2 linked regions of the Elephas maximus indicus genome follow. The protein of the gene in region 1 interacts with the protein of each later gene in a pairwise test. Links are inferred from orthologs where the notes say so. Each region holds a gene or a part of one and is shown in the gene's direction. Other genes may lie near its edges. The genes, in order: FOSL1 and USF1.

Region 1 (15,252 bases):
ATATTTTAAAAGTGTGAATTTTATCAAATGTAAAATATACTGCAATAAAGTAGATATTGTTTTAAAATGAGGCAGATCTATATACACTCAGTGGAAGGATTTCCAACACAGAAGAAAACAAAAAAAGCAAGGAACAAATGGGTGTGCAGAGCAGGCTACATTCTGGGTGAAAAGAGACACAAGAAACTGGTTACAATGCCCGTCTGGAAGAAGAGGGAGGAGAAACAGGGGTAGGAGGGAAGCTTCTCATGGTACACCCTTTTGCAGATTTTGGATTTTGAGGCATGGGAATGTACTACCTAGTGGAAAAAGGAATGCAATTAGATTTTTTAAAATAAGGCAACATTAAATAAATATACAAATCATCAGGTGGCATCCATGGCACAACAAATGGTCTCTATTCACCTGAAGCAACAGAGGAAGGAGAGTCAGGAACAGGAGGAGGATACACAGCTAGTGAACAACTACCTCCTCTGCAGTGAGACCAGAAGAGCCGGACGGTGCCCAGCTACCGCTACTGAACATTTTGATCAAAGATTCCATAGAAGAATCCTGGTCAAAAGGGAGAAAATGCAAAAGAGAATTTTAAATTTTCAAGGATTCTAAACTTTCTGGAGCTATGGAGGTTGGATGAACCCCTGAAACTATCGTCCTGAAATAATCTTTAAACTTTAAACCAAAATTATCCCCGAAGTCATCTTAAAACTGAGCAATAGTTTCACTTAACTAGTAAAAAAGATCTGCCTTGAACATTATGCTTTTTTAAGAGCTACCTTTATGGGATCAAATTGACAATAGCACCTGGAAAGATTAGACAGGAACCGTAGGGGCAATGAGTTTATGTTAATGAGGGAGGAACAACTCAGAAAAGGAGGGTGAGAACGGTTGCGCACCTCGAAGAGTGTCATCGATGATGCTAAATTGTACATGTAGAAATTGTTGAATTGGTGTATGTTTTGCTGTGTATATTCTCAGCAATAACAACAAAATAAAATTTAGATAAAAATATAAAACATGTTTTAATGAGAAATTACATATGTGTGTTTTTAAAGTGACACTTTAAAGACTGAGGGGCATCTGACCCAACCCATGGTATTTTCAATTTCCTCATATGCATGAGAAAGCTGGACAATGAATAAGGAAGACTGAAGAATTGATGCCTTTGAATTGTGGTGTTGGTGAAGAGTATTGAATATACCACGGACTGCCAAAAGAACAAACAAATTTGTCTTGGAAGAAGGACAGCCAGAATGCTCCTTAGAAGCAAGGATGGCGGGACTACATCTGACAAACTTTGGACATGTTATCAGGAGGGATCAGTCCCTGGAGAAGGACATCATGCTTGGTAAAGTAGAGGATCAGTGAAAAAGAGGAAGACCCTCAATGAGATGGATTGACCCAGTGGCTGCAATAATGGGATCGAGCATAACAAGGATTGTGTGGATGGTGCAATACCCAGCAGTGTTGTACACAGGGTCGCTCTGAGCCGGAACTGATTCAATAATACCTAAAAACAACGTCACATACATATATGTGTGTGTGTATGTATGTGTATTATCTATTTCTTTAAAAGAATTTTAAATTATTTGCATTTTTGGATATACGTGTGTGCATGTATCCTAAAATAGCACAGCCCAAAAAATGCAAAGATTTAAAAATCATTCTGAGGCCTACACGTATGTACACATTAAAAACCTATACATAGTAAAAGGTTCTTATATATTCATTCAAAGAATTGGCCGGATTTGATTTATACCACGTGCTTTTGCATTATAGCACTACAAGAATTTCTCTGAAATGAGAAAGCAAAGAAAGGAGAAAGAAGAGAAGAAAAAACAAAATGGTACCAAAACATCCCAGGTTAGTCTTTTCTCATTTTACTTTTTTTTTTTAATCTCCCTCCCATTGCTTTTGTCTGAATGTTTCTCCCACCTCTTATTAAGACAAAGATGACAAGAGGAAGAAGGAACAGTCTTTTCAACAAATGATGCCAGGACAACTGGATCAAAAAGAATGGCAAAAGAATAAAGTTCGACCTTTACTTTACACCATATATAAAGATTAACTCAAAATGAATCAAAGACCTAAATATAAGAGCTAAAACAACAAAACTCCTAGAACACATAGGCATTGATCTTCATGATCTTAGATTAGGCAATGGTTTCTTAGTTATGATATATAAATAACAAGCAAACAAAGAAAAATAGATGAACTGAACTGCATCAAAACTAAAAGCTTTTGTGCTTCAAAGGACACCCTCAAGAAAGTGACGACAGCTCACAGAATAAGAAAAATCTGCAAATCATATATCTGGTAAGAGTCTAGTATCCAAAACATATAGAGAACTTTTACAACTCAACAATTAAAAAGACAACCCAACTTTAAAAAAGGCAAAGGATATGAATAAATAGTTCTCCAACAAAGAAATACAAATGGCCAATAAGCACGTGAAAAGATGTTCAACATCATTAGCCATCAGGGAAATGCAAATCAAAATCACAATGAGATACCACTTCACCCCCACTAAGATGGCTATAATCAAAAAGGACAATAATAAGTTTTAGCAAGGATGTGGAGAAATTGGAACCTTACACAATGCTGATGGGAATATAAAATGGCACAGCCTCTTTGGGACTTCTTCAAAAACTTAAACACAGAGTTACCATATGACCCAGCAATTCTACTCCTAGGTTTATACCCAAGAAAAATAAAAGCATATGTCCACACACACACACAAAAAAAAAATCATTCTGAGCAGAGAACAGTAATATATAGCATAGTACTAGGAAACTGTTTTGCGTGAGGGATTTAATGTAGGGAATTTTTTTTTTTTTTAGGGGCTCATGGAAGTAGTACTGGAAACGGTTAACACACTCTGCTAACTGAAAAGTTGGCACCTTGGAAGAAAGGCCTGGTGATCTACATCCAAAAGATGTCAGGCATTGAAAACTCTAGGGAGCTCGGTTCTACTAGGAAACACATGGGGTTACCATGAGTTGGAATAAACTCTATGGCAACTGGTTTACTGGTTAGGGCTCATGGAAGGCCTTACTGAAGATGGTGACCAGACATGAAGGGTAAAACAGCTGGCCAGGTGAGGGGGTTAGGGGAGGGTACCCCGGGCAAAGGGTACAGACTGTGCAAAGGCTGAGAGGCTGGGTCCAGCATTGAAGCTAGGCAGAGGGAGGAGCCTGGGCAGGCAGCCAAGGTCCACCAAACCTGGGAGGGCCTAGAATGCCATGTCACAGATTCTGGGTGCTTTCAAGAAGCCCGGGCTCTGAAGACTGACTGCCTAGGTTCAAATCCTGGCTCCACCGCTTCATCGTGTGCTGCTTTTAGCTAGTCACTTAATTTCCCTGTGCCTCCATTTCCTTTTCTGTAAAATGGGTATAGCATGATTATCTATTTCCAAGCATTGTTGTGAGGATTAAATAAATACTTTGAATAGTGTATGTGTGAGCCACTGGTGTTATCCTCGTAGCCCTCCAAGTTCCCCCCACCCCATCAACATGCAACCTATAAGAACTCAGGGGGCATCAAGCATCCCTGCCCTACCTCTTCCCAGGCCTCAGCAATTCTGAAGGGGCCAGAACTCAGAAAGGTCCAAGTCAGAGAGAGACAGGGGTCAGAATTTTTAAAGATTCCTTTGTGAACATTCTCATGATTAAAAAAATACAACTCCTTCAAGAATGAAGAACACCAAAGACATAAGGTAATTACGAGGCCAAGAGACAGAAAGGGCCACATAAATCAGAGGCTACATCAGCCTGCGACCAGAACTAGATGGTGCCCAGCTACAACCGATGACTGCCCTGATAGGGCACACAACAGAGAACCCCTGATGGAGCAGGAGAACAGTGGGATGCAGACCTTAAATTCTCATAAAAAGACCAGACTTAATGGTCTAACTGAGACTGGAAGGACTCCGGAGGTCATGGTCCCCAGACCTTCTGTTAGGCCAAGACTGGAACCATTCCCAAAGCCAACTCTTCAGACAGGGATTGGACTAGACTATAAGATAGAAAATGATACTGATGAGGAGTGAGCTTCTTGGCTCAAGTAGACACATGAGACTATGTGGGCAGCTCCTGTCTGGAGGGGAGATGAGAAGGCAGAGGGGGACAGAAGCTGGCTGAATGGACACATCGAATATTGAGTGGAGAGAAGGAGTGTGCTGTCTCATTAGGGGGAGTGCAACTAGGAGTATATAGCAAGATGTGTATAAGTTTTTGTATGAGAGACTAACTTGACTTGTAAACTTTCACTTAAAGCACAATAAAAAAAACAACAACAACTTCTTCAGAATGCTGGGTGGAAAATGGAGAGGAGGGAGCTGAGGTGGAGGCTGGGAGACCATCCAGGAGAGAGAGGATGGAGCCAGGATCAAGGAGAATAAATGTTTGTCACAGTGAACTGAAATGTCAACACCAGATGTGGAGCAGTGGGAAACCCTTACCCATTGCTGGTGGACTATAAAGCAGCACAGCTGCTTAGGCCAACAGTTAAGTCAAATCAACTAAAGCCAAACATACACCTACCCCTGTGACCCAGCAATTCCGCCCCTGGGCATCTATCCGAGAGAAATGAGTGCGAATAGCCACCAATGGACACATCAAGAAAGTTCACAGCAGCCTTATTCGCAATAGTCCCAAACCAGAAGGGTCCCAAAGGCATCAGCAGAAGAATGGAAAGACTGTGGGATATTCACGCAATGGAATTCTACCCAGCAATAGAAAAGACCAGACTACTAGTTCACCCAATAACGTGGGTGAACCCTGCAGACATGTTGAGTGAAGGAAGCCAGATGCAAAAAAGCACACGCTCAGTGTTCCGTTTATATGAAGTTCAAGAGTAGGTAAAACTAATCTATGATAATAGAAGTCACAATAGTGGTTAACTGGAGGTGGGGGTAATGACAGGAGTGGGCATTAAAGAGAGTTTCCAAGCTGCTGAAAACGTCCTTGATCTTGATCTTGTGGCTACCCAGGTATACATGTAAAAAGTCATTGAGCGGAATACCGTGATGATTGAACTTTACTCTATGTATATTTCAATTACAAAAGTGAATGGAAACTAAAAAAATAAACATCACCTCCGGCGGCACTGATTGAGCACCTACTGTGTGCCAGGCATACTCCTCCACCACCCCTTTTCATCTCCCCACAACCCTAAGAGGTGAGGCTCTCTGGGGCTCAGAGTAGGTAAGAGGTTGGGTCAGGCTCACACGGCGGCCAAAGGCCAGGGCCAGGGTCTCTCAGGCCTCCCCCACCCCAGACTCCCAGCAGCCCCTGTGGCTCCTGGGGTTCTCTCCTGGCCTCCCTGGGTGGCAGCTAGTGAGGTCAGGCCCCAGGAACGTTTCTGTAGCCACGAGGCAGGAGTTGGTGACTGAGGAGCTTGGAATGTGCTGCTTCTGTAAGGACCTTCTTGTGGCTCGGCCGACGGTTAGAGCAGGAAGGGACTTTCAGAGTCATGTAGTCACACACACACCAAAAAATAAAAAGTCCCACCACCATCGAGTCCAACTCATAGCAACCCTGCAGGACAGAGGAGAACTGCCCCACAGGGCTTCCAAGGCTGTCATCTTTAGGAAAGTACTCTCACATCTTTCTCCTGAGGTGCAGCTGGTAGGTTTGAACTGCTGACCTTTCGGTTAGCAGCTGAGCACTTAGCCACTGTGCTACCAGGTTTCCTTTACACACACGCGTGCGCACACACACATACACCCCCTATTTAAATAAAGCCCAAGAAACTGAAAACCAGAAGGACCAAAAGACTTGTCCCAAGTCAGGAGTGGGGGGCTGAGCCCCCATTCCTTCAGCTGCACAGGCTGCTTGGGGAGGGGTCAGGGATGGTCTTTGGAGGCATGAGGGTGAATGCAGTCCAGGCTGACCTGTGTCAGGCCTTGAATGTGCCACCACCTGGCCACCTGTGTCACCCCTGACCTGACTTAGTTGGGTCTGGCCAAGGAAGTCAGCTATTCGTGTGTGTATGTGTGTGTCTCAACCCGGAGGCTTTTATTAACATGTGTATTTATTTTCGATACTATTTATCAAAGGAGCCCTGTTGGCTTGGCACAATGGCTGGCAGTTCGAAGGCACCAGTGGCTCCACAGGAGAGAGACCGGGGCATCTGCTTCCACAAATATTTACAGTCAAGAAAACCCTATGGGGCAGTTCTACTCTGTCACATGGGGTCGCTATGAGTTAGAATTGACTCAATGGCAGCCGACAACAACTATCACGTTTTTACTATGTGTCCGGCTCTGTATTAAACACGTGATATTATTTTACTTCTACCCCCCAATCGCCTCATGTACATGTGAAAGCTGGATGATAAGTAAGGAAGACCGAAGAATTGACACCTTTGAACGGTGGTGTTGGTGAAGAATATTGAATATACCATGGACTGCCCAAAGAATGAACCAATCTGTCTTGGAAGAAGTACAACCAGAATGCTCCTTAGAAGCAAGGATGGCCAGACCAGGTCTTACATACTTTGGTCATGTTGTCAGGAGGGATCAGTCCCTAGAGAAGGACATTGTGCTTGGTAAAGGAGAGGGTCAGCGAAAAAGAGGAAGATCCTCAACGAGATGGATTGACACAGTGGCTGCAACAATGGGCTCAAGTATAACAACGATTGTGAGGATGGTACAGGACCAAGCAGTGTTCTGTTCTGTTGTACATGGGGTGGCTATGAGTTAGAACCGACTGGACAGCACCCAACAATGACAATAACAGCCCCCAACAACCCTGAGATGTAACTATAATGATATCTCCATTTTCCAGAGGAAAAGGAGGCTCTGAGAGATTGTGTATCTCATCTGGGTCACATGGCTGGTGAGGAACCCAGCAGAGTCCAACCCAGGACCCAGAACTGTCTGACTCCAGCGTGCACGTTCTTCCCATGGGTCACACTGTTGTTGCAAAATCTCTCTCTCTCTCTCTCACACACACATACACCCCTATGTTTCTCATTCTGGTAAACTGCTGTGGTTTCTTTTCCTTTCAGAGGAAGACAAGCCTTAAATAAAACAAGGTCAAAGGGAGAGGCACCAGCCTGGCAGCCACCTCCTGAAAACACAGCACTTTACAGGTTACAAAGCACTTTCTCATCAATGATCTCATTTGATCCTCACAGCAGCCCCACGAGGTCACTGGGAGGTCCAATCATTGCCACTGGGACTGAGACTTGGAGGGGAGCAGGGCGGATTATCCAATAAACAAGGTAAGCACAGGCTTTCTTGTGCTTACTTACTGATCATAGTGAACAACTGTTCGCATGTGAAATTGCTCACTACAGACTAGCAAGTAAGCACAAGTAAGCCCGTGCTTGCCTTGCTTACTTGGCCATCTGCCCCTGTCAGGGATTGTAAATTTGAAGAGTCTTTGATTCTGTAGGAAGATGCTGTGGGGTTGGGAGAGAGACATGCCAGCCATACCTAGAAGCAGAAACTTTGATGTGGTGAAAAAAAGTGCAATTGTTCACTACAGACTAGAGAGTAAGGGCAAATAAACCTGTGCCTGCTTTGCTTATTGAATAATTCACCCCTGGAAGCTAGGGGACACAACAGGAAATGACAGCTCTGTGACTGGAACCCCAGAGTCAGGCTGGCCTCCTGGCTCCAGCCCTGAGTGAGCCCACAGACCCCTTACCTTTGTGCCCATGACAGGCTGCCCAGGGCCCTGCCCCCTGGAGCTCTACTGGAGCTGATCAGATGGAGGTTCTGGTGGAAAAGCTGGAGAGCCCAGCATTCTTTCTACAGCTGTGTGACGTTAGCAGCTCCTACTCTTTCTGGGCTTCAGTTTCCTCATCTGTAAAATAGGGGGGGGCACAGAAGCTTTTGGACGGTCCTCTCAGCACTGACGTTCTGCATGTGTGGAATAGCGTCTGTGACGCAGTGAGGGCTTTGAAAAATCTTGGCTGAGCCTGGCCTTAGAGCTCCTACAGCCCTAGTTTGGGAATCTGGTCCAGCCCTTCACCTAGTGACCCTGGACAATCATTTCAGCCTCTCTCAGCCTCAGCTTCCCCATCCGTAAAATGGGGATGATGGTGGTACCTACTTCCCAGGATTGTTGGTCTTTGGTTGCTGACTTTTGATTCCGGCCTCAGGTTCATACAGACCTTTGACATCATCTCCAAACAATGCTGGTGACCACACAGTCCACAAGTAGCATGACAGTATTTAAAGAAGATGGTGTTCACCAGACAGCTAGCCACTGGAGTCCCATCGCAGAATCCCACTCCATAACAAACCAACTCACTGCCATAGGGTTGATTCTGACTCACAGCGACTCATGTGTTACAGTGTAGAATTGCTCCTAGGGTTTTCTTGGCTGTAATCTTTATGAAAGCAGATTTCCAGGCCTTTCTTCGTCCGCGCCACTGAGCAGGTTTGAACCGCTAACCTTTAGATTAGTAATCGATCGCAAAACGTTTGTGCCACGCAGGGACCTTAAAACGTGTTCGAGCTCCTGCAATTTCCAGTCAGCAGCACGACGATATTGCATTGTATCTGTGGACTGTTCAAAGCATTACTCTGTTCTTTTAAGCACTTAAAATAGATCACCATGTTTATAACTCTGATGTGTCATTCATTCATTTTTCAGTATATCCCGAGCCGTACAGCAATGCCAGTGGCCGGGCCCCCTGCCACAACTGTGAAACCGTGCGTGGCACTTAGCATGGTTTCCGGCATGAAACAAAACACCCAGTGATAATGATAAAATAAATAATGTATCACATTCATAATCCATTTTACAGCTTCCAAACTGCTTTCCCATTCATCATTCCACCTCCCACGCGCGGACAGGTAGCTCCGGAACGACGTCGTCCCATTTCACCGCTGCAGAGGCCGAGGCCGCGTGCGGACCAGGGCGCGCGGGCGGCGGACCGAGCGGCGGGGCGGGGCGGGGCGGGGCGGCCGCAGGTGCGTCAGGCCGGGGGAACCCTGGGCTCTACCTGGGCGCGCCGAGGAAATTGCACCATGTATGGGCAGCTGCGTCAGAGGGCGGAGCCCTGCACAGAGCCCCGCCGGCGGTCGCGGGGGCCCGCGAGTCCGCCCCTTCTCCGAGCAGAGGGGGCACCGGGCCGCAGGAGGCGTCGCAAAGCTCGCGCGGACGGCACGGGCGGTGCGTCGGGAGAGGGAGCCCAGGGGACCCGCCGCCGAGCACCCCCGCGCAGTCCGAGTGGTTCAGCCCGCCAGCGTTCATTCACAAAAAGCGAAGAGTCGGCGAGGAGACGGTGAGTCAGGACCGAGCCGCCGCGGGCCCGCAAGCAGCAGCCCAGGGCATGTTCCGAGACTTCGAGGAGCCCGGACCGAGCACCGGGCCGGGCGGCGCGTACGGCCCTCCCGCGCCCAATCCCGCCGCGGCGCAGGCGGCCGCCCAGCAGGTGAGACGGCTCGGACAGCGCCTGGGACGCCGGGGTCCGCTCCGGGACGAGCTGGGGACCGGAGAAGGACCAGAGCGGGGGCGGGGGACCGATGAGGGGCCAGGGCCAGGGGCCGGGGGCCGGCTAGGGCCGGGGGCCGGGCCGAGGACCCTGCCCATTACCTGCCGTCCGGGAGCCACGTTCCCTCCACGGCCCAGGGGGATGCGCGGGACGACCTTCGGGCGCCGCTCCTCGCCCGCCCCCTTCCCCGCGCTGCCTGCGGTCGGTCCCTCCGTCTGTTTCCTTCTTTCCTTCCTCCTGCCCACCGCTAGTTCTCCGACGGGGATCAGGGACATCTGGGTTAGTCGTAGCCCCACCAGGATCAGCGAGGCTCTCCATCTCGGGCTGGATGCCCGGGCTCCGGGTTTGGGCTAAGGCCGAGACGTGCGGACACTGGAGGGAGGCGGTCACCATCGGCTGACCAGCCTCTACAAAATAGGAACTCGGCGCTGCCTGTGACTGTGTGTCTGTCCGTTGGTCTGTCCCTCCCTCCCCCCACTCTTCACTGAGGCTTCACGCTTTTCGGTGGCTGTCTGGCAGTGGAGCCTGGTGGTTTCCGGAGACTGGCTCTCGACCCCTTTCCCAGTTGGGGCCACTAAACCCTACGAGGCCTCGGGACGTGTGCGGCGTCACGCAACGGGCAACGCCAACGCCCCGGATCCTCGGCCCGCACCGGCGCCCGCTGCCGGCTGGGGGAATCTGGGAGGCTGCAGGTGCCCATTTCCTGTCAAAGGGCCGCGAGCACGTGTCACCAGGGGAGAGAATGAGCGGGCGTCCGTTCCGCCGAGTCACGGCGGCCGAGTCACGGCGGCTGAGTCACCCGCGGCGCCCCTCCCTTCCTGGCCCCGAGCGCCCTGGCCCGGACAACCTCGGGAGCGGGAGATGCCGCCGCTGGCAGTGCCTCGGGCCCGGAACTGGGGTCACCGGGTCACTGGGACAGCAGCCTTAGCCGGGGCCACTGCTGTCGAAACTTGCCTGGGCTTGTGAAGAGCTTCTCAGACGACAGGTCGCCCACACCCAGGGCCCAGCTCCAGGCCTCTAACCCTGTTCTGCTCCCAGAACAGTGTGCCCTCATCCCAACCCATTGCTCAGATTCCTGGCAGAAATCATCTCAGATAACCTTTGGCGTGTCATTTACAGTGTGCCAGGGAAGTGCTAGGCGCTTTCCACTTCATTGACTATTCCACCGAATCTAAGAAACGATGATTTTAAAACCTACCATGAGTTTGTGCCAGTAAAGGAAAAAAATGTCAATTAAACTATGATTTCAGAGCTATTAAAAGGTACTTCTGAGAATCAGTGAAATGCTGTAATTCTCACCTATTAAACCAAAAAACACAAAACAAAACAAAACAAAAACCCAAACCTGTTGCAGTGGAGTCCATTCTGACTCCTAGCAATACTATAGGACAGAGTAGAACTGCCCAATAGGGTTTCCAAGGAATGGCTTGGTGGATTTGAACTGCCAACCTTTTGCTTAGCTGCCAAACAACCACTGCACCAGCAGGGCTCCCCTCACCTATTACAATGTTACAAATGAGGAACTGAGGCACAATGAAGGTAAACAGCTTAACAGCTTGCCCAAAGTCACACAATCAGAAAGTGGCTGAGCCAGGTTTAGAACTGGGATTGCCTGAACCCAGCGCAGTGACTCCTGCCCACCACAGTCCCCTGCGCATTAGGCACTTGCCACTTACCAGGCTCTGTCACACGTTCTCTCACCTGATTCTCACAGTTACCCTCTTTGTGCAGATGGGACTCAGGCAGGGTGCAGGGGTAAGGGCAAGACTCTGGAGCCTGGCGAGCTGGGGTCCCACTTACAGACTGTGTTTTCAGGCAATTCTTCCCCGGACTGAAAATGAAGTTACTACTAGAGCAGTCCTCATAGGGCAGTTGTGCAGAGTATATGAGTCAGTCTCTGTAAAGTGGTCAGGACAGCGCTTAGCAGGGCAAACAGGCACAGAAAAGTTATGTGACTTGTGCAAAGTCAAACAGCTGAGCAGGGATTTGCCACCAAGTCCGTCTGTCTGACTGCCAAGCTGCGCTCTTTCTGATCTCCCAGAACTGGCAGCTGCTTTGGGAGTGGATGGCAGTGTACCCTCTGTCTACTAGATGCCCCTCAATCCACACAGAACTCATCCTCGGCCATCCACTTCTTGTCCCCCAGAAATTCCACCTTGTGCCAAGCCTCAACGCTGTGAGTGGCAGCCAGGAGCTGCAGTGGATGGTACAGCCTCACTTCCTGGGGCCCAGCAGCTATCCCAGGCCTCTGGGCTACCCCCAGTTCAACCCGCCGCAGCCCCGACCAGGTGTCATCCGGGCCCTAGGGCCACCTCCAGGAGTGCGGCGCCGGCCCTGTGACCAGGTAAGGAGCAGACGCCTGGCCCTGGTTCTGATGCCCATAGGGCTGCTAGGGGGCTGAGAACAAGCTCCTGCCAGAAAAGGAGAGCACAAGCCTAGAAGGCAGGGTCACTGGCAACTATTGCCCAAGACAGAAAGTGACTGGAACCCTTGGAGAGGCCCAGAAGGCAAGGAGGTCCCTTCTAGATCAGGGAAAGCTTCCTGGAGGAGGGGGCATACTAGCCTCCAAGGATGTTAAATCCTAGGGTAGGATTTGCAAAGGCAGAGATGAAGAAAAGATGAAGTTCTGGGTGGAGGGAGTGGCAGGCACAAGGAATGGAGGTAGAGGTGAGGATGTGAACATGGAAAGGTGAGAGTATGGCAGAGGGCCTCCCCCCACTGGCATGTGCAGGGGAGTGGGCTGACGCTGTCTGTGGCACTGCACAGCTGGGGAGAGAAAAGGAAAGAGTGGATCCCCTTCAGCTACTCTCTAGGTCTCAGTTTCCCTATCTCATTTAATTCTCACAAGAACTCTCTGGGGAATGTACTCTGATTCTCCCCATTTTACAGAGGAGAAAACAAATGCCCAGAGGAGTAAAGTTACTTGCCCAAGACCACACAAGGAGTGAGTAATGAGCCTGGGTCTGTCCAACCCTAAAGTCAGCTCCTAACCATCCAGGCACACTGTTTCACCAGAAGCTGCCAGGAGGCTCCAAGCAGCATGATCCGGGGTCTCTTGCCTTCCCAGTCAGGGCTCCTGCCCTCACCACTTCTCAAATAAAGTCCTTGCCAAAATAAATAAACCAGAGATAGGGGGGCTTTAAGGGATAATAAATAAGAGAGCCTCTTGCCTCCCTAGCCAAGGATACTACCCTTACACTGCTCAAATAAAATCTTTGCCAAAATAAATAAATGAAAGATAAGGGGGGCTTAAGGGATAATAAGTAAGATAGGGGGCTTTCCTCCTTCCTCTCCCTGGAGCGTTCTGATCTGTGAGGCAACAGTGGGGTGAGGTCCGCATGTTAAAAAGCTTGCTCCAACAGCAGAGTAGAGAATAGGGAGGATGGGATCCTGGGAAAGATGTGAGATGGGCCAGGGGTGGTTTTCCCAGAAGTAGAACGGATGCAGGGGACTTTAGCGAGAGAGCCCCAGACACAGGCAAGCCAGGGGTAACCGCCTTCTGGACTCCTGCCCTGTTGTAAGGGTGGCACTTTGATTCTGGGCACTCCCAGGTTGGGGCTGTGAGTGGTTCTTTTGGGGGGAGGTGGTCTCCATAAGCTGGCCAGTGTCAATAGAGGTACCCACTGCTGTCGAGTTGATTCCGACTCATAGAGACTCTATAGGACAGAGTAGAACTGCACCGTAGAGTTTCCAAGGAGCACCTGGTAGATTCAAACTGCTGACCTCTTGGTTAGCAGCTGTAGCACTCAACCACTATGCCACCAGGGTTTCAATAGAGGTAGTGGACTCTAATTCCTGATCTGGGACCTTACCCAGGGATTCATCCCCCCTGAGCTTCAGTTCCTCACATGGAAAGTGGTTAAGAATCGTATGAAGCACTTAGCTGACACATAATTAGTTGTTTTTGTTGTGTGCCCTCCAGTTGATTTCGACTCATAGCATTTCTATATGACAGGGTAGAACCGCCCCTTAGGGTTTCCTAGGCTGTAAATCTTTAGAAGAGCAAATTGCCTGGTCTTTTCTCCTGTGGAGCGGCTGGGTGGGTTAGAACCACCGACCTTTGGGTTAACAGCAGAGCTCTTTAACCACTGTGCCACCAGGGCTCCTTTAGCACATAGTAGGCTCCTAGTAAATTACGACTTATTCCGGAGCACTCAGTAGCCCCTCCTAGTTTTCACAGTCCCAGGGGAAGAGGCCCCTTGGTCTTCAAGAGATGGAAAGAATGAGGGTTCTGGTCAAAGAGGGTTGGGGGCCCTGCTCCAGGTCTCAGAGGAGCAAAGGCCACTTCTGGCTGGGGGATGAGAGAAGGCTTCCCAGAGGCGAGGGCATTTTAGCTGAGTCCCGGACGACGAGGAGGTTTAAGGTTTGTGGAAGGGGAGGGCACTTGGTGTGAGGAACCGTAGGAGGCAGAGGCTGAGTGCCAGGAGGAAATCTGACCGATCCAGGCTGCCCAGACCGTGAGTGCGGGAAGTCGGCTGCGGTGCTGTGGTCTCTATACCGTGTCCTCCGCCAGGGGTCTACCCCTGGGCCACCATGGGGGGCGGGCGCTGGGCAGCCTGCCGCAGTGGTGCCTCACCTTCCACCCTTCGACCCTCTGTTCCCCAGATCAGTCCCGAGGAGGAGGAGCGCCGCCGAGTGAGACGCGAGCGGAACAAGTTAGCCGCTGCCAAGTGCCGGAACAGGAGGAAGGAACTGACCGACTTCCTGCAGGCTGTGAGCCCCGGCCCCCCAAGCCTTAGGGGGACCCCGTGGGAACCAGGGGCGCCTAACTGCCTCCCTAGCTAAGGGGAACCCTTCTGGAAAAAGGACGAAGACAAAGCGATTAAAAATTAGTTGCAGCGCATCTCACTCTGTAACCATGCAAATCTACTCCCCTTGACTCTTTCCTAAAGCGCATAATCAGGGCTGGGCTCAGAGCAGAGCTCTTGCGGACTACAGCTTTCTAGGACGCCCCCAAGCCTGATGGGAGTCGTGCCCATTCTCTCCCAGGGGCTCACGGGAGTTGTAGTCCAGCCTTACACAGGGGCTCCCAACCACCCCCACCCATCCTCCCAGGCTGCAGGATATTCAGCCCTCACCTTCCTCATTCCTCCCCTGACCTTTTGACCTTTTACAGGAGACCGACAAACTGGAGGATGAGAAGTCTGGGTTGCAGCGAGAGATTGAGGAGCTGCAGAAGCAGAAGGAGCGCCTGGAGCTGGTGCTGGAAGCCCACCGCCCCATCTGCAAAATCCCAGAAGGGGCTGAGGAGAGCAGCACAGAGGACACAAGCGGCACAGGCGGTACCAGCAGCCCGCCTGCCCCCTCCCGCTCTGTGCCTTGTATCTCCCTTTCCCCGGGGCCGGTGCTTGAACCCGAGGCGCTGCACACGCCCACGCTCATGACCACGCCCTCCCTGACCCCATTCACCCCGAGCCTGGTCTTCACCTACCCCAGCACCCCAGAGCCCTGCGCCTCGGCCCATCGCAGGAGTAGCAGCAGCAGCGGGGACCCGTCCTCTGACCCTCTCGGCTCCCCCACCCTCCTTGCTTTGTGAGGTGCTCCAGCCCCTTCCCTGCAGGTGTCACTCTAGCCAACACCTCTACCCTCATTGGTCCAGCTGGTCTGGACTACAGTCCATCCCAAACCCAGCACGTTCTTCTCCATCCCTCCAGATGAGACTGAGCATATTTTGCTTCAGGATGGAACCAGCTTGGGGCCACCAACGCTGCTCACTGTTTCTCTCGAGCTGGCCCCTCTAGCACAATTTGCACTACATGAGAGACAAATTATTTCCTGCTTGTGCCAGAGAACTCCCAGCAG
Region 2 (15,246 bases), on another chromosome or scaffold:
GTTAGGTGGTGGCTAAATGTTTGTTGAGCAAATGTCTGCAGTCCATTGGAGGACTGACCTGCATGCCACCCACCAAGGTAAAGGCAAGCTATGAGAAGTCCTGTAGTTCATTATACACAAGACACCTTGGGAGTGCAAAGGAAGCAGAGGTCGATCCTGAGGAGGGTGTCCTAGAAGGCTTCCTGGAAGAAGTGGCATTGAAACTTGAATCATGTGCATGAATTAAAAGGTGGAGATGGCGTTAAGGGCATCCAGGATAAAGGTATTTTCAGGGAGCATTAGGATGGGAAGGTGGAGGGTGCGAGGAGAAAAGTAACTCCACATCTCCACAGGTCTAAGGACATAGAGGCCTCGGGCTTCAATGGGACAGCAGCCTTCATGGAGGTGCGCGTGCAGTCCATTGTTGTCGAGTTCATCCTTACGCACGTGGACCAGCTCTTCGGGGGTGCTGCCCTTTCTGGTCAGTGTCCTCCCCATCCCCCACATTGCTGCTTTCTGTCTGGGGGTCATGTCAGAGTTAGAGAGGGCCTCAAAGATCAACTAGTCCAGTCTTTCCATTTTTGTAGATGAGAAAACTGAGTCTAGGTGTAGAGGGATGATGCTTATTATCACATGGACAGGACCCTGGAGAGATAACGGCACAGTGAAAGACTTGAGCGGGGCTATTCCACTGTCAGTTCAGGGTGTAGCCTGAGTTCTCATTCACCATCCTGGTCCCTAAGGCTAGTGACTGCTCATTCTCATCCCCAGCCCACAAGACCAATGTCCTGGTATCTATCTCCTGGCACTCTCTGTCTGTAAAGGCCAACTCTTGAGGTCCCCCCTTGTAGGGCCTATCTCTGGGGGTGGTTCTGAGTATATACCCAGCGATCCTGGCAGCTGGAGAGTGGGGGGAGGCAATGAAGGGCTGGGTGCCTGCGGTCCCTCTCCGGTCTCTTCCCGGCCAGCCAATTTTCTTTTCCCCCCAGGTGGTGAAATGGAAAGTGGATGGCGATCACTTCCAGGGGCCCGGGCGTCAAACAGTACTGAGGACTTTATGCCCCGGTCCCTGCCCTACCACTTGCCTAGTATTCTGCAGGCTGGCGATGGACCCCCACAGATCCGGCCCTACCACACTATCATTGAGATTGCTGAGCACAAGTAAGGCCTCTTTCCTGGGCCCTCCTCCCCTGCACTGACCACCAGCCCCCACTCCCCAATTATTTCCCCATTCCTTGCAGGAGGAAGGGGTCTTTGAAGGTCAGGAAATGGAGATCCATCTTCAATCTGGGTCGCTCTGGCCATGAGACAAAGCGTAAACTTCTACGAGGGGGCGAAGACAGGGGTAAGCCTAGGGATTTGTGGGGAGAGCTCAGCTGATGTGTGTGAGGCTCTGGCTCTATGCACATCTCTGTCTTGCAGAGGACAAGTCTGATAAAGGGACACTGCGCCCAGCCAAGAGCATGGACTCACTGAGCGCTGCAGCTGGGGTCAGTGATGGTGAGTAGAGGTGTGCACCTGTGTGCATGCACACGTGTGTTGTGTGATCAACAGCATGGGTCTGTGTGCATCTGTGTGTATGCATGCCTGGGAATGTATTTGCGAGAAAATAAGGTATTATGGCTGAGACCACAGTGCCTGCATTTCCCTGTGTGTGTGTGTGTGTGTCTGTGCGTGTGGCCACTTGTGCTCAATGATTTAAAAAATATTTAACGAGTGTGCAATAGTTTATATACCAACTACTGTGCTGGATGCACAATAGTTGGTACGTGCTGGATGTGGGGAAACCCTGGTGGCATAGTGGTTAAGTGCTATAGCTGCTAACCAAAAGGACAGCAGTTCGAATCCACCAGGTGCTCCTTGGTAACCCTATGGGGCAGTTTTACTCTGCACTATAGGGTCGCTATGAGTTGGAACTGACTTGACGGCAATGGGTCAAGTCAGTCGGTTGGGTTGGTGCTGGATGCTGGGGTTACAGTGGTGAGTTTATGGCCTATGTGTGTGTTCATATGAGTGTTTGCACATAGATGTAATGGGGACAGTAAGCAGTGGATGAAGGGGCAGTGTGTGTGTGTGGCAGTGGTGGCCAGTGACTGTGCGTGCAAGAAGGGGAAGGGGGCTTTCTAGATATGTGCAGGCAGAGAAAATTGCGTTCTGCTGGTTGGGTGGAGGGTTTGCGGTAGTGGCAGAGGAAGCTGACCTGGTACAACAGGGGACATTTTTTGGAGTCTTCCTTAGGTGACCCCTTGCAGCTGAGGCCATTGCCTACCTGGTCCTTTTTCCCCTCCACAGAGCCAGAGGGGCTGATGGGGCCCAGCAGTCCCCGGCCAGGCCCGCTGCTTCCTGAGAGCTTGGAGAACAATTCTGTGGAGGCAGCAGAAGGCGAGCATGAGCCTGAGGCAGAGGCACCGGCTGGCACAAACTCCGAGCCAGGCACACCACGAGCTGGGCGGTCAGCAGTTCGGGCTGGTGGCACCAGCCGTTCAGAGCGCTGTGCTGGCGTCCACATCTCAGACCCCTACAACGTCAACCTCCCGCTACATATCACCTCTATCCTCAGCATGCCCCCAAACATCATCTCCAATGTCTCGTTGGCCAGGCTCACCCGTGGCCTTGAGTGCCCGGCCCTACAGCCCCGGCCAAGTCCTGCCTCTGGTCCCAGCCCTGGCCCTGGCCCTGGCCCTGGCCCTCCAGGTGAGGACCCTGGGATTACCCAGGACTGGGAAAGGAGACTAGAACTCTAGGCTGAAGCTCTCATGCTGTGATCTTCCCTGAGAAGGGCAGAGTCCTCAGCTCCTGTGCTTTGGGGTGGCTGTCTTCAGCTGCCTCCCTGTGTTTGGGGTTGGGAGAATCTAGTAATAGTATTGAATTCTGCAAAATCCATGGAGAGAGAATCCCTGGCAGCCTGCAGATCACTGATATATCCAAGAATAGAGGTCCGAGTCAGACACATAGAGAAGGGATTACTAAGTACCAGTGTGGGAATATATAATAGATGGCAGAAATAATAATAACATTACGAATAATACCTAATATTTATTGAAGGCTTATTATGTGTCAAGTGCTGTGTTAAGCACTTTGCAGGCATTAGTTCATTTAATTTTCTCATAACCTTATACCAAAATCAAACCAAACCCGTTGCGGTCAAGTTGATTCCAACTCATGGTGACCCTATAAGACCGAGTAGAACTGCCCCATATGGTTTCTAAGGAGCAGCTGGTAGATCTGAACTGCAGACTTTTGGTTAGTAGCCGAACTCTTAACCACTATACCGCCAGGGTTTCCCATAACTTTATAGCATTAAAAAACCCAAACCTGTTGATGTCAAGTCAATTCCGACTCCTAGTGACTCTATAGGACAGAGCAGAACTGCCCCATAGGGTTTCCTAGTAGCACCTGGTGGATTCCGACCGCTGACGTTTTGGTTAGCAGCTGAGCTCTTAACCAGTACACCACCAGGGCTTCTCCTGATAGCATAGGTGTTATGTTTGTTACAGTGGGGGAACCTGAGACTTAGGTTAAGCAACGTGTTATTAATATAGGTAGGAACTGGCAAACCTGGGATCGGATCTTTGCTCCAACTCCAGTCCCTAAAGTGTCACTGATGAGAAGTGCTAAGGCAGCATAGTACAGTGGGTAAGAGCATGGGCTACAGACTTGGGTTCAAACTTTGGCTTTGCCACTTACTGGATGTGTGACCTTGGATAAATTGTTTCATATCTCTCAGCATCACTTTTCTTATACATAAAATAGGGGTAATACTCTACATAATAGGGTTGTTTTGCAGTGAAAATGCACTTTAGAGGAGTTTAATAAAAGTAGTGATAAGCCAATAGTTAGGGATATCAGTCTGAGAAGATCAACCATATCGGGTATCTATGCTGGGAGTTCTGGGCCCATACTGTATCAATGCCAGGAAGACCCACATTGGAAAGGGTCAGGGCTGGCCTGGACCTTTGGAATTCTGGGACTACCTCTCCCCCAACAGATAAGAAGTTGGAGGCAAGTGCAGCTCCTGATTCCTTGGCTGACTCAGGCCCAGTGGACACGGCCCCTGCTCTGGAGGACTCCTTGTCCCAGGAGGTGCAAGATTCCTTCTCCTTCCTAGAGGACTCAAGCGACTCAGAGCCTGAGTGGGTGGGGGTGGAGGATGGGGATGTGGCCAAGGCAGGAGCAGCAGGAGCAGCTTTCTCCCCTGGGGAGGACGACCCTGGGATGGGCTACCTAGAGGAGCTCCTGGGAGTTGAGCCTCAGGTAAGAAGGAGCTGTGCTGGGTTTGGGGGTGGTATGGGGTCTCAGGGTGAGCAGGGCCACCTGGTCCTGAGCCACAATGCTATGCCTACAGGTGGAGGAGTTCTCTGTGGAGCCACCCTTGGATGACCTCTCTCTGGATGAGGCGCAGTTTGTCCTAGCTCCCAGCTGCTGTTCCCTGGACTTTGCTGGCCCCAGGCCTGAAGCAGAGGAGGAAAGTGGGGAGGAAGTCTTCCTGAGTGCCTATGACGACCTAAGTCCCCTTCTGGAGCCCAAACCACCGACCTGGGAAGGTCTAGGGAGTCTGGAGGCAGAGGCAGCAGGGTGTAGAAGACAGGCTTCAGGGCAGGCTTCAGGAGAGCAAGCATGCTTGGAAGTTGGGGAGAACAAGGAGTCTGAGCCTGGAAATAGATGCGACATGAGGGAGGCTGAGGGGAGTCCAGAGACCAAAGTAGAGGTTGGAGAGTCAGGTGAGGAAGGAGTGGAGACTGAGGGAGACCAGGATATGATGGCTAGTTTGAGAGAAGGGAGTGGGGAAGAGACAGAGACCAAGTCCAAAAGCCAGAATGAAGCTGAGAATATGGAGGAGGCTAAGGGTGTGGACGAATCAGGAGAAGAGCAGAGTAAAGACGAGAAGGAAAGAGAGACTGAGAGAGAAGAAGAGGCTGAAGGAGGAGACAAGGCCCAGGTAGAACCTGGAAAAGACCCAGAGTATGGGGCCCAGGAACACCAAGTTGCTGAGGAGAGCTGGGAAGTTGTACATAAACAAGAGGCTGAGGGAGGCAGGGAAGATGATATCAAAGGACAGAGTGGGGATGGGGGCCAAGAGGCAAGAGAAGACCAAGGAGATGGTGAAGACATCAGAATCCTAGAAGCAGCAGCTGGAGGAACAGCGGAGGTCAGCAAGGAATGGGAGAGAGGGGATGGAGGGGCTGAGGGAGACCAGAGGGCTGGAGGTGACCATTTTGAAGAAGGCTCTCTCCCTGAAGGGTCAGGTGGAGAGTCCCTGAGCATTGATAGTGCCAAAGGGGGCAATGCCCAGTCCTTTGAGGAGGAACAGGCAGCCCCACAGCCACCTCTGCCAGAGGAGATGGAGCCTGAGGGGCAGCTTAGTCCAGAGGGCTGTGATCTGTGCCCCTGTCCCCCTGGCTTAGCTGGTGGTGTGGGCATGCGCCTGGCTTCCACCCTGGTTCAGGTCCAACAGGTCCGCTCTGTGCCTGTGGTGCCCCCCAAACCACAGTTTGCCAAGATGCCCAGTGCACTGTGTGGCAAGATCCATGTGGCACCTGCAAACCCATGTCCGAGGCCTGGCCGGCTTGATGGGACTCCTGGGGAAAGGGCTTGGGGGTCCCGAGCCTCCCGCTCCTCCTGGAGGAATGGGGGCAGTCTTTCCTTTGATGCTGCTGTGGCTTTGGCCCGGGACCGCCAGAGGACTGAGGCTCAGGGAGTTCGGCGGACCCAGACCTGTACTGGAGGTGGGGACTACAGCCTCATCCCCAGAACCACCTACGGTAGCATGCTTCCTGCCTATTCTCACCGGCCCCTTAGCTGCCTGGAGCACCCACCTGAAGGCACAGAAGGATCTGAATCCCGGAGTCGGCTTAGTCTGCCCCCCAGAGAACTCCAGCCCCCTGACCCCCTTAAGCCCCCCCAGCGCCGATCGTACGCATTTGAAACACAGGGTAACCTTGGGAAAGGTGAGGAACTGTGATTAGGACCTGGGCAAAGGGGACCAGTAAGCTGTCTTGAATCTCCAGGGTCCCTGACGAGCTGTAGAGCCTAACTCTACAGGCTTTGGCCTCTTGCTTCTCTTTTTGACTGTGGGAGGCCACAGGTTAGTTCGTTTACCTGAGCTTGTCTAAGACAGAAAGCACTTATCCCTTAGGAGATTCCTAAGAAAGTTACCAAGATCTGGTTCCTAGGGAGTGGGGTTATTGGCTAAAGGGAACATAGCCGGTGCCATTGAGTCGATTCCGACTCATAGCGACCCTATAGGACAGAGTAGAACTGCCCCATAGCGTTTTCAAGGAGTGGCTGGTGGATTTGAACTGCCAACCTTTTGGTTAGCAGCTGAACGCTCAATCACTGCGCCAAAAGGAACAGATGTGGGCAGAAAACTTAGAGGTTTTTCAAAGTGAAGAATGGAGGGGGAATTCCAGCCAAGTTCCTACTCTCCTCTGAGGCTGTGAACCTTCATGAAAGCTTAAGGTGAGGTGGGGAGGACAGGGCCAGGTCAGAGCCTATCACACACAAACATTTTGTGTTGCCCACCCCTGTTTTGTTCCTGGACCCCTGAATACTTCCTGTCTGAGCTTCAGATTAGGAGTAACTTATTCAGGAAGCTCTTTGAAGGCTTCAGTGTTTGTTGGGAGGACTGACCATCTTTCCAGCTCACCCACCTGCTGTCTCCAGTCAGCTTAAAGAAGAAGGGGTCCTGTATAGATCTCTCTGGCCTCTCCTTTTCCCTTTGGGATAACTTCCTCTGCTTCGGTTAAGATTTACAGCCTTGGAAACTCTATGGGGCAGTTCTACTCTGTCGTCTAGGGTTACTGTGAATTGGAATTAACTCGATGGCAGTGGGTTTGGTTTTGTTACCTTAGGGAAGGGGAATGGGGCCACTCAGGTCCTGGGGCTGCTTTTCCAGACCAGCTGAACCACAGATCCCACTCTAGTAAGTGGGGGCTGTCTCAGAATAAAAGTTGTATTTTTACATGTAAATAGTGTGAAGTCTCATTATTCTTACTAAAGCCGTGAGTGGTATCATCTCTTCACATGTTTGGGCAAATGTCTTTTTTTCTTTGCTGTTTGTTCTTCCTCAGATGTTGTCATGGAGACCTGTGGCTAGAAACTAGAGCTGAGTTCACGGTGGTCAGGAAAAGGGGAAGAGAAATTATATTTACATAATGCTCATTCTGTGCCAGTAACTGAGCTAGGTGTTCTACGTGCATAGCATCTATGCCCTTGACTTTATTTAAGCCACATAACAGTTCAGAAGGTTGACACTGGTGTCTACTCTTTACAGATGAGGTAACTAAAGCTTAATTAAGTTGCCCAAGATCTCAGAGGTAAGAAGTGGCAAAAGTGGGTATGAGATCTGGGTTTGTCTGGTCCCAAATCAATTAAGGGTTAGGTCCTGGCTAGTTGGAATGGGAATAAAAATTCCTTTCAAAGAAACTGAAGCCTTGGGTCTTTAGGTAAAGGACGGCTGACGCTAATACAAAGAAGTATGCCTAGTTAGCTGTCTTAATCTTCCCGTTAAGAAACACTTCAAACAGATGCCCTGATCCAAGATGGCCTCCCAAATGAGCCTTGTTAAAGATGGCGTCTCGGCCGGACTTCCCTCTCTGACCTAAATTGGCTCCCTCACTACCTTTTCCTGAGACTAAAAAATGCACCGCCCAGCACAAAGATGGTAGCACAAATTAGTCGTCTTTCTCCCATTCTTGCTGAAAACGGTTACGACTTCAGTGTCATTCCGACAAGATCCCAGGAAATGGCACCTTCTCGGTCCAGAGACACTCCAAACACCCCCGCATCCCTCAGCCCTCACCCAGGGGGAACGAACGGAAGTGGGGCGGATCAAGGGGCTGAGTCGGCTGGGCGGGTCGAGAGAGACACTTCCGCCCCTCATCAACATGGCTGCAGGCTGGGAGTGCGCATGAGCGGCTGCCCATGGAGATACCCGGGTCCGGAGGGGGGAAAACACTGTCGGGGAAAAGCAGCGCCTGAGGCGGCCTTGCCCGGTGAGTGCAGGACCAGACAGAAGTCGGGACACTGGGCGGACGGGCAAGGCAGGGCAGCTCTGGTTTGGTTTTAGTTTTCTGGGTTAGGGAACTCTTGGGTAGGAAGCCTTTGTTTTGGGGGAGGGGGCTCGCCTGGCTCTTTATCTCCTACCCCCCTTTGTGGGCCGAGCTCGCTCTCCGCCCCCGAACGGCGCGCGCCCCGTCCTGCGATGCGCGGCCGCGGGCCGTAGCGGGGGGCGCCGAGCGGCCGAGTCCGGGCGGGGACCGCGGGGCCTGCCGAGCCCCTGGCGCCCTTCCCTGCCTCCTCTGCGGAGCAGCCGGGGCGCGGGCTGGCGGCACGGGCCCCGGGGCTCGCGCTTGTCGTGCGCTCAGCTCTGTAAAGCGCCTCCTGGCTGGTGGGCCTCCGGGAAGATGCCGCATTCCCAGGCAAGGTCTCTGCGCCTGACTTCTTTGACGACTTGCCTTTTTTCCCTTTGTGTCCGGACTTAGCGAGGGATCTTGCTGGTCGCTCCTTGTCTGAGCGTGCACGCCACAACATCCTTTTCCTTTGCCGCGTCGCGTATGCCTAGTGCTCAGGAAATGCTTCCTGATGTCCCACTGAGATTTGAATCAGCAGCCTGACCCCGTTGCTGGTGCCCTCAGAGGCTGCCCCTAGCTGACAGCTGTGGATGATAGAGTTGCCTCCTTTCCTGGTGCCCTGCCCTCTCTTTCATTGCCGCCTCCTGCAGTCAGCGCAGCAAGCCTCGGGAGGGGCACCTCCTCCTCAGGTTTGAGGACAGAGGTAGGTGGTCCCTAGGTACTAGTGTTATTTCCACTTAGGGACTGGGATCTCCTTGCAGTATTACTTCCTCTGTCGCTTTCACTTTCAGTTCCTTTTTTTCAAAGACCTATTGACACTTTCCTTAGACACTGGCTTTCCAAAGTGTAACCGCTGAAGATTTTCCTTAGATTTGGGGAAACCTTAAAGGTAGAGAGTTTACAAAAATCTTGTTTGTTTCCTGTTCGGATTATCTTTTTGCCTTGCGCTGTGCGGCTGTTTTTTTCTGGAGGCATTGGTCTGCTCAGCCCGTTGTTTTTCCTGCCCTCTGTCTGGGTGTCAGGGTCCTAAGGATGGCACCTTATGAATGGATTCCTCCCCCATTGTTTCTTCTCCTTCAGAACCTTGAGCTTCCAGCTTTTTTCCTTCTTGCTGAGCCTCAGTTGAAATTTGGAGTTGTCATGGCAACATGTTAGCAAATGTGTTGTTTCACAGGAAGCCTTGGAGAATAAAATAGAGAGGTCTTGAAGATGCTGCATTTGTGCTTTAGGGTCTCTAACAGAAGACATGTATCTGAACACCCCAGAACAAGAGCTCTGTCAATAGAATGGGCCTTAAGGGCCAAGTCTGGTCTTTGTGGTTAGGGATGGTTTTCCAATGGCAATGGGCTTCATGCCATTGAGTTGAGAATAGAGATCTCTTGGTGTAAAGTATACATCTAAGAAGTTGAAAGAAGCATCAGTGTCCATAGCCCTGTGTTTTTTGATAGTGATAGTCTAACAGGGTCTAATCCCTATGAAGCTGCGGTCATGGCAGGTCATAATAGCTTTAGTAATAACCCATCCAGGTACAGGATGTTTCTCAGTCTTCCAGTCCAGTAATCCCCTCTCCACCAGGAGTTGGAGTTGTCGTGGAGGGGTGAGGAACACTATTTGTACGGTGGCTTTTTCAACCATTGTAGCCCAGTCCTCAGCATCAAGAATGGGGGAGGCTTACTGTCCCCTGCAGACGATTGGGTTATGTTCCTGGCTGTATCTTTATGGAGCCTAGTTCTAGAACCAGGAGGCTGTTGAGTTTCCTAGACTCACTGCAAACTCCCTGATTTCTACCAGGATTTAACACACAGGGCTGTGAGGCAAGACATACAAAGACCTCCAGAGAAGGACCAGTTCCTCGGATGTTCCCCCTCACAGAGAGATGAAGGGGTAAGTGAAGAAGAGGTAGGATCTGGGACAGAAGATGGGTGGCCTAGGAGAATGGCAGACTGGATAAGAGCACTGGCTCTGGAGTCAGGCAGATCTGGATTCAAGTCCCAGTGCCATCGCTTATTAGCTGTGTGACTTGGTTTCTCCATCTGTAAAATGGAAGTGGTGATACTTATAGGGCTGTTCTTAGTATTAGATAAGATAGTCCATGTTCAGTGCCTAGCTCAGTGCCTGTGCCCATAGTAAACACTCAGTCAATATTAGCTGTTGTTATTCCAGTCTAATCTCGCATCTGGTGCGAATGCCACTGAGTTCGGGAGCCATATGTTACTGGGTCAGTGAGCTTCTCATTCATTTCTTTCCTTATTCTTCCTTTTGTCCCTTCCTCACAAATAGGCAGCAGAAGACAGCTGAAACGGAAGAGGGGACAGTGCAGATTCAGGAAGGTGAGTGACAGAAATAGAACCAAGAGCCCTTCCTGGTCTCTCCGACGGCCTATCTCCTGTGCACCCTCCTCCTATGAATGACGTACCAGTGGAACAGAGGGAGAAAGGCAGCAGCTCACAGGCCCTTCCTTTGCTTTTTTAATTCAGGTGCAGTGGCAACTGGGGAGGACCCAACCAGCGTGGCTATTGCCAGCATCCAGTCAGCTGCCACCTTCCCTGACCCCAACGTCAAGTACGTCTTCCGAACTGAGAATGGGGGCCAGGTAAGGGAGGGGGCCAGGTTGCTGCAGGTGTGACCTGGGGTTGGGATTGAGGGAGGTAATTGAACATGTCTTGGGAGACTTGGCTTGGAGAATGAGGTGAAGATGTGGACTGTTTGGGGGATGGAGAGGTTTAGAGTAGAAATTAATGTGGGCCAGGGGCTATGCTGAAACTTCTGTAAGGGAAAGGAGGAGGAATGGCTCAATCTGTGTCTTTGAAGAATTCTTGTTTCAGGGCCCTAAGGGAAGCTTTGTGAAGGGCGCTGGGACCCCTAGTACTTACTCTCTTCTTCTTTGTTCTTCTCCTTCGCCTTCCTTCCCCACTTGTAGGTGATGTACAGGGTGATCCAGGTGTCTGAGGGGCAGCTGGATGGCCAGACTGAAGGCACTGGAGCCATCAGTGGTTACCCTGCCACCCAATCCATGACCCAGGTACAGGGGTTTGGGCTGGGGAGGGGGATAGAGCTCTAAGCAGTAAGACGAAGGGAACCAGTGACGACGCTAGGGATAGTGAGGCACCTAGAGCTGCCTTATCTCTTGTCCCTAGAGCTTCCCTAGGCTCTCCCTTTCTGGATTGTTCCCCCTCTTCCTCCCAGGGATAGAAGCTGCAGGATGGTATGGCAGGAAGAAGCGTCTGACTCACTGGACTCTGCTCTCTCGCTCCCCTTCCCAGGCGGTGATCCAGGGTGCATTCACCAGTGATGATGCAGTTGACGCGGAGGGGACAGCTGCTGAGACACACTATACTTATTTCCCCAGCACTGCAGTGGGAGATGGGGCAGGGGGCGCCACATCGGGAAGTACAGCTGCTGTTGTCACTACCCAGGGCTCAGAGGCACTGCTGGGGCAGGCGACCCCTCCTGGCACTGGTGAGATATCATGATGATGCAGGCTGGAGGGGCTAGGATAGGTTGTGAGACGTGACAGTGGCCCATCACGCATGACCTCTCAGGTGATCACTAAGTCCTGGGCAGGCAGTGAGTCTGGGGCTGACCTTCCAGCAGGAGGAAGCATGTTATTTTTAGAGGAAGGTCCCAAGGCATTGGCCTCAGAGCTTGATGAGGTTCCCAGTCCTATGTCCTGACAGAACCTACCCTGCATCTTCACAGGTCAGTTCTTTGTGATGATGTCACCACAAGAAGTGTTGCAGGGAGGAAGCCAGCGCTCCATTGCCCCCAGGACCCACCCTTATTCCCCGTGAGTGACCTTTGTTTCTTCTCAGTGACTATGAGGATGAGGGGTTTTGATCCCTGCCAAATCCCTTACCCCAGACTTCCACCTTATTTTTTGTCCTGTCCTCACTCTGGCCACCCTGGGCTCTGTTGTCAGGAAATCAGAAGCTCCCCGGACGACTCGAGATGAGAAACGCAGGGCTCAGCATAATGAAGGTAGATGTGATGAGGGCGTGAAGCTAGGAGCTGATTGGTGGGATTGGGGATGGGAGTGATGTCTGGGGGCAGGGGGGGCTGGGTTGAGTGGGGAACTTTTACCTTGGGACTTGTGGCAAGTTCTTGCTGAGTCACTTTGTCTTTCCCCTTGCCCCACAGTGGAGCGCCGCCGCCGAGACAAGATCAACAACTGGATTGTGCAGCTGTCCAAGATCATCCCCGACTGCTCTATGGAGAGTACCAAGTCTGGCCAGGTCAGTATGCCCGAGTAATGTCTCCTGATACTGCTTCCAGAAGTGCTAGAAAGTGGGGCACAGTGTCAGTGGTCTTTTTTCCTTCTCTCTGAGGTTCCTCTATCCCTGGGATATTTTACATCACCATCCTTGGGGGAAATGAGGTCTAAAGTCTGCAAGTGCTTTTGGAAAGTAGCTTAAATCTTGGTCCTCCTTTTGCTTTCATTTTCTTGCAGAGTAAAGGTGGAATTCTATCCAAAGCCTGTGATTATATTCAGGAGCTTCGGCAGAGTAACCACCGGTTGTCCGAAGAACTGCAGGGGCTTGACCAGCTGCAGCTGGACAATGATGTGCTTCGACAGCAGGTCAGATCCCAGCCTTCAACACAGCCCTTCCTCTACCCTGTAGCCACTGACCCGGTTTAGGGCTCCCTACTTGGTTCTCCACTGAGAGGACCTCACCTCTTTCCCCCCACCAGTGGGTGTTTAAGTTCAAGGGCTTGGTCGTGCCAACTTTTGTATGAATTCTCTTACTGCCTCCTTCCTGTGTCAGGTGGAAGACCTTAAAAACAAGAATCTGCTGCTACGAGCTCAGTTGCGACACCATGGAGTAGAGGTCGTCATCAAGAATGACAGCAACTAACCTGGGGATCCAGGGGCTTTGGGCCCTACAGCCCCTTTTTCAGAACTGCAGACAGCCCAGGAGCACCAGGCTAACCCGTGCCCCTTTCCTTCACTGCCCTTCTGGCATGGGACTCGGGGGAGTTCAGAAAGTGTGTCTTTGACCTGAGGCCCTGTGATATAGCAGCCTGCAGTGGTGTGAAACAGCCACGTGGACGAGCACTAACAGCCTCGCCCACCCCCAACAAGCAGCCCCTGGGCCCGTGTGCTCTTCTTGCACAATGCATGTGCTGTCTCGATGCTGGATACTGGACACACTTAACTGGAGAGCTTGTCCTGCGCTTGCTTAGAGTGCCCAGCAGAGGGTCTGCGGACTGGTGATGCTCTGGCTTGCTCCAGGACTCCAACGCTTCCACTATTCTTCCTTTCCTTGGAGCTGAGGTTCAGATGTGGACCTGGTTTGTCTGGAGAACAGGCTTTAGCAGGAAGTGGGAGAAGGGATGCTTAGCAATGGCTGCTGCCCAGGGAAGAGGAGCCTGGCCAGCAAGCAGCTAAGGCCTATGCAGATGTCTCTGGAGCCAGGGAGAACAACAGGCAGGGGCCCACCTGGGGCCTTCCCCTTTTGGGGGGAAGTTTTTTTTTCTTTTCCTTTTTTTTTTTTTAAACATAAAATTGTTCAGAGCCACAGTTGTCTCTCGTTTTCACTGCTTTTGTGGGCCCCAGGGCTGAAGGGAAGGAGCATGCTGCCCTTTGACCACTAAGGGCTGGGCTAGGTTTAGGGTGGGGTGGGGCTGGTGTGCTTATTACCCTGAACCCTGGTACCTGGCCCAGATCAGTGTGGAATTTCCAGCCCATGCTGGGCAATCGCAAGGATTTCTCTGGGGGGCGGTGTCAGCAGCAGCACTGACAGGTGCCTCGGGGGCGGTGCATGAGGCGGTGCAATTGCTTCCGGTTCCGGTCTTGGCGGCTCCAGGAGGAGCGGGGGAGATGCTGCGGGAGCTGACCTGGCGGGTTGGGGCCGCATTCCTGCGATTGATCACTGCGCGCCCCATGGCTGGAGGTAACCTGCGCGGAGCCCCTTGGATGGAGGTGCAGGGGCGGGAGAAGTGGTGTTGCTGAGACATCTGCATGCACCCCACTCCACCAGGACAGGGCGCTGCTGGCGAGGAGGCTCTGCGGCGCCGTGCCTTGACCGGGTCCCCTCAAGACTTTCGTGCTCCCTTCTTCAGTGCCCACGGTTTCGCTACCTGAACTCCGTTTGCTCCTATCCTCGGGCCGGGTCCGCCTCATCGACGTGCGATCTCGGGAGGAGGCTGCAGCTGGGACCATCCCAGGGGCGCTTAACATCCCGGGTATGGGATTGAGAGGGGACGCCCTGGTGGTGGAGTAAAGACTTGTCAAGGAAGGTATTAGCTAATGGGGCCGCAGGTAGGGTGGCGCGGGGAAGGCACTGGTTACAGGGGTCCAGAGTTCCCTTAAGCCACCCCTAAGCCTCCCTAGAGTAGGGCTGATTAGAGGCGGATCCTGGCAGCGGAACTGGCCCATCCAGTTTGAGGGGTAACAGGCGGTGAGGAGAGTGGCAGATCAGTTGGACCTCCCTGAGGCTGTGTGCTGGAATCTGCCTGTTCCTCCTCACGAAGTGGCTCACTTTCAAATGTTTGGCTGAGTAGTGCCCGTGCAAGTAGCTGTTTCTTGTCCTTGAGGTTGGGGGCCAGTATGTGTTGGTGGGTTTTGTGTCTGTGTGTGTGTTTTGCGGCCTCCTGAACACTTGTTTGACTACCAGGGTCCAGCCCTTCCTGCCTACTTCCCATTCTCTCCTCTTGACTCATCCAGTGTCTGAGTTGGAAGGTGCCCTGCAGATGGAGCCAGCTGCTTTCCAGGCTTTGTACTCCGCTGAGAAACCAAAGCGGGAAGATGAGAACCTCGTTTTCTTCTGTCAGATGGGCAAGAGGGGATTGCAGGCCACCCAGTTGGCCAGGGGCCTTGGATACACTGGGTATGGAGAAGGTGTGGATAGCTACCTGGGGAGTGACTGGGGATTCCCTCCGGAGCCTGACCTTCCCTCACCCCTCTTTGTCTCCACAGGGCTTGCAACTATGCTGGGGCCTATAAAGAATGGTTCGAGAAAATGGGTTAGTTAAAACGATGGTTTACCGATTGCCCGGCCACCTTTCTCTCAAATGACACTTCCTGGCAAACTTTACTAGAGATGATGAAGGGGCTGACTTGCTGGGCTGGGCAACTCCTTGTAGTGTCATGCACACCAAAAAAATCAAATAAAGAGCATTTAATTAAAGTCTTGGAAGCATTTAATTTGGCAGATGGACTGAAAACAGGTCCAGTCTTAATCTAGACCTCAGATCA

The links.
Region 2: the proteins of FOSL1 (region 1) and USF1 interact in binary tests that used the Homo sapiens proteins (3 or more experiments, as listed by UniProt). The link is inferred for Elephas maximus indicus from reciprocal best matches to the Homo sapiens genes FOSL1 and USF1.

What each region holds. Positions count from the first base shown.
Region 1 is NC_064825.1:129,038,742-129,053,993, reverse strand, and holds the start of FOSL1 (fos-related antigen 1), read left to right. Parts: upstream 1-9,044; 5' UTR 9,045-9,288; coding exon 9,289-9,390; intron 9,391-11,596; coding exon 11,597-11,794; intron 11,795-14,055; coding exon 14,056-14,163; intron 14,164-14,566; coding exon 14,567-14,986; 3' UTR 14,987-15,252.
Region 2 is NC_064821.1:199,852,054-199,867,299, reverse strand, and holds USF1 (upstream stimulatory factor 1), read left to right. Parts: upstream 1-7,845; 5' UTR 7,846-7,973; intron 7,974-9,842; 5' UTR 9,843-9,927; coding exon 9,928-9,935; intron 9,936-10,331; coding exon 10,332-10,381; intron 10,382-10,526; exon of another isoform or gene 10,527-10,528; coding exon 10,529-10,644; intron 10,645-10,971; coding exon 10,972-11,073; intron 11,074-11,314; coding exon 11,315-11,510; intron 11,511-11,750; coding exon 11,751-11,838; intron 11,839-11,970; coding exon 11,971-12,029; intron 12,030-12,188; coding exon 12,189-12,283; intron 12,284-12,498; coding exon 12,499-12,627; intron 12,628-12,814; coding exon 12,815-12,904; 3' UTR 12,905-13,538; downstream 13,539-15,246. Other genes in the region: ARHGAP30 (rho GTPase-activating protein 30), read left to right, coding at 333-460, 969-1,140, 1,221-1,324, 1,402-1,479, 2,272-2,673, 3,968-4,233, 4,325-5,941; TSTD1 (thiosulfate:glutathione sulfurtransferase), read left to right, coding at 13,870-13,942, 14,112-14,234, 14,716-14,889, 14,968-15,023.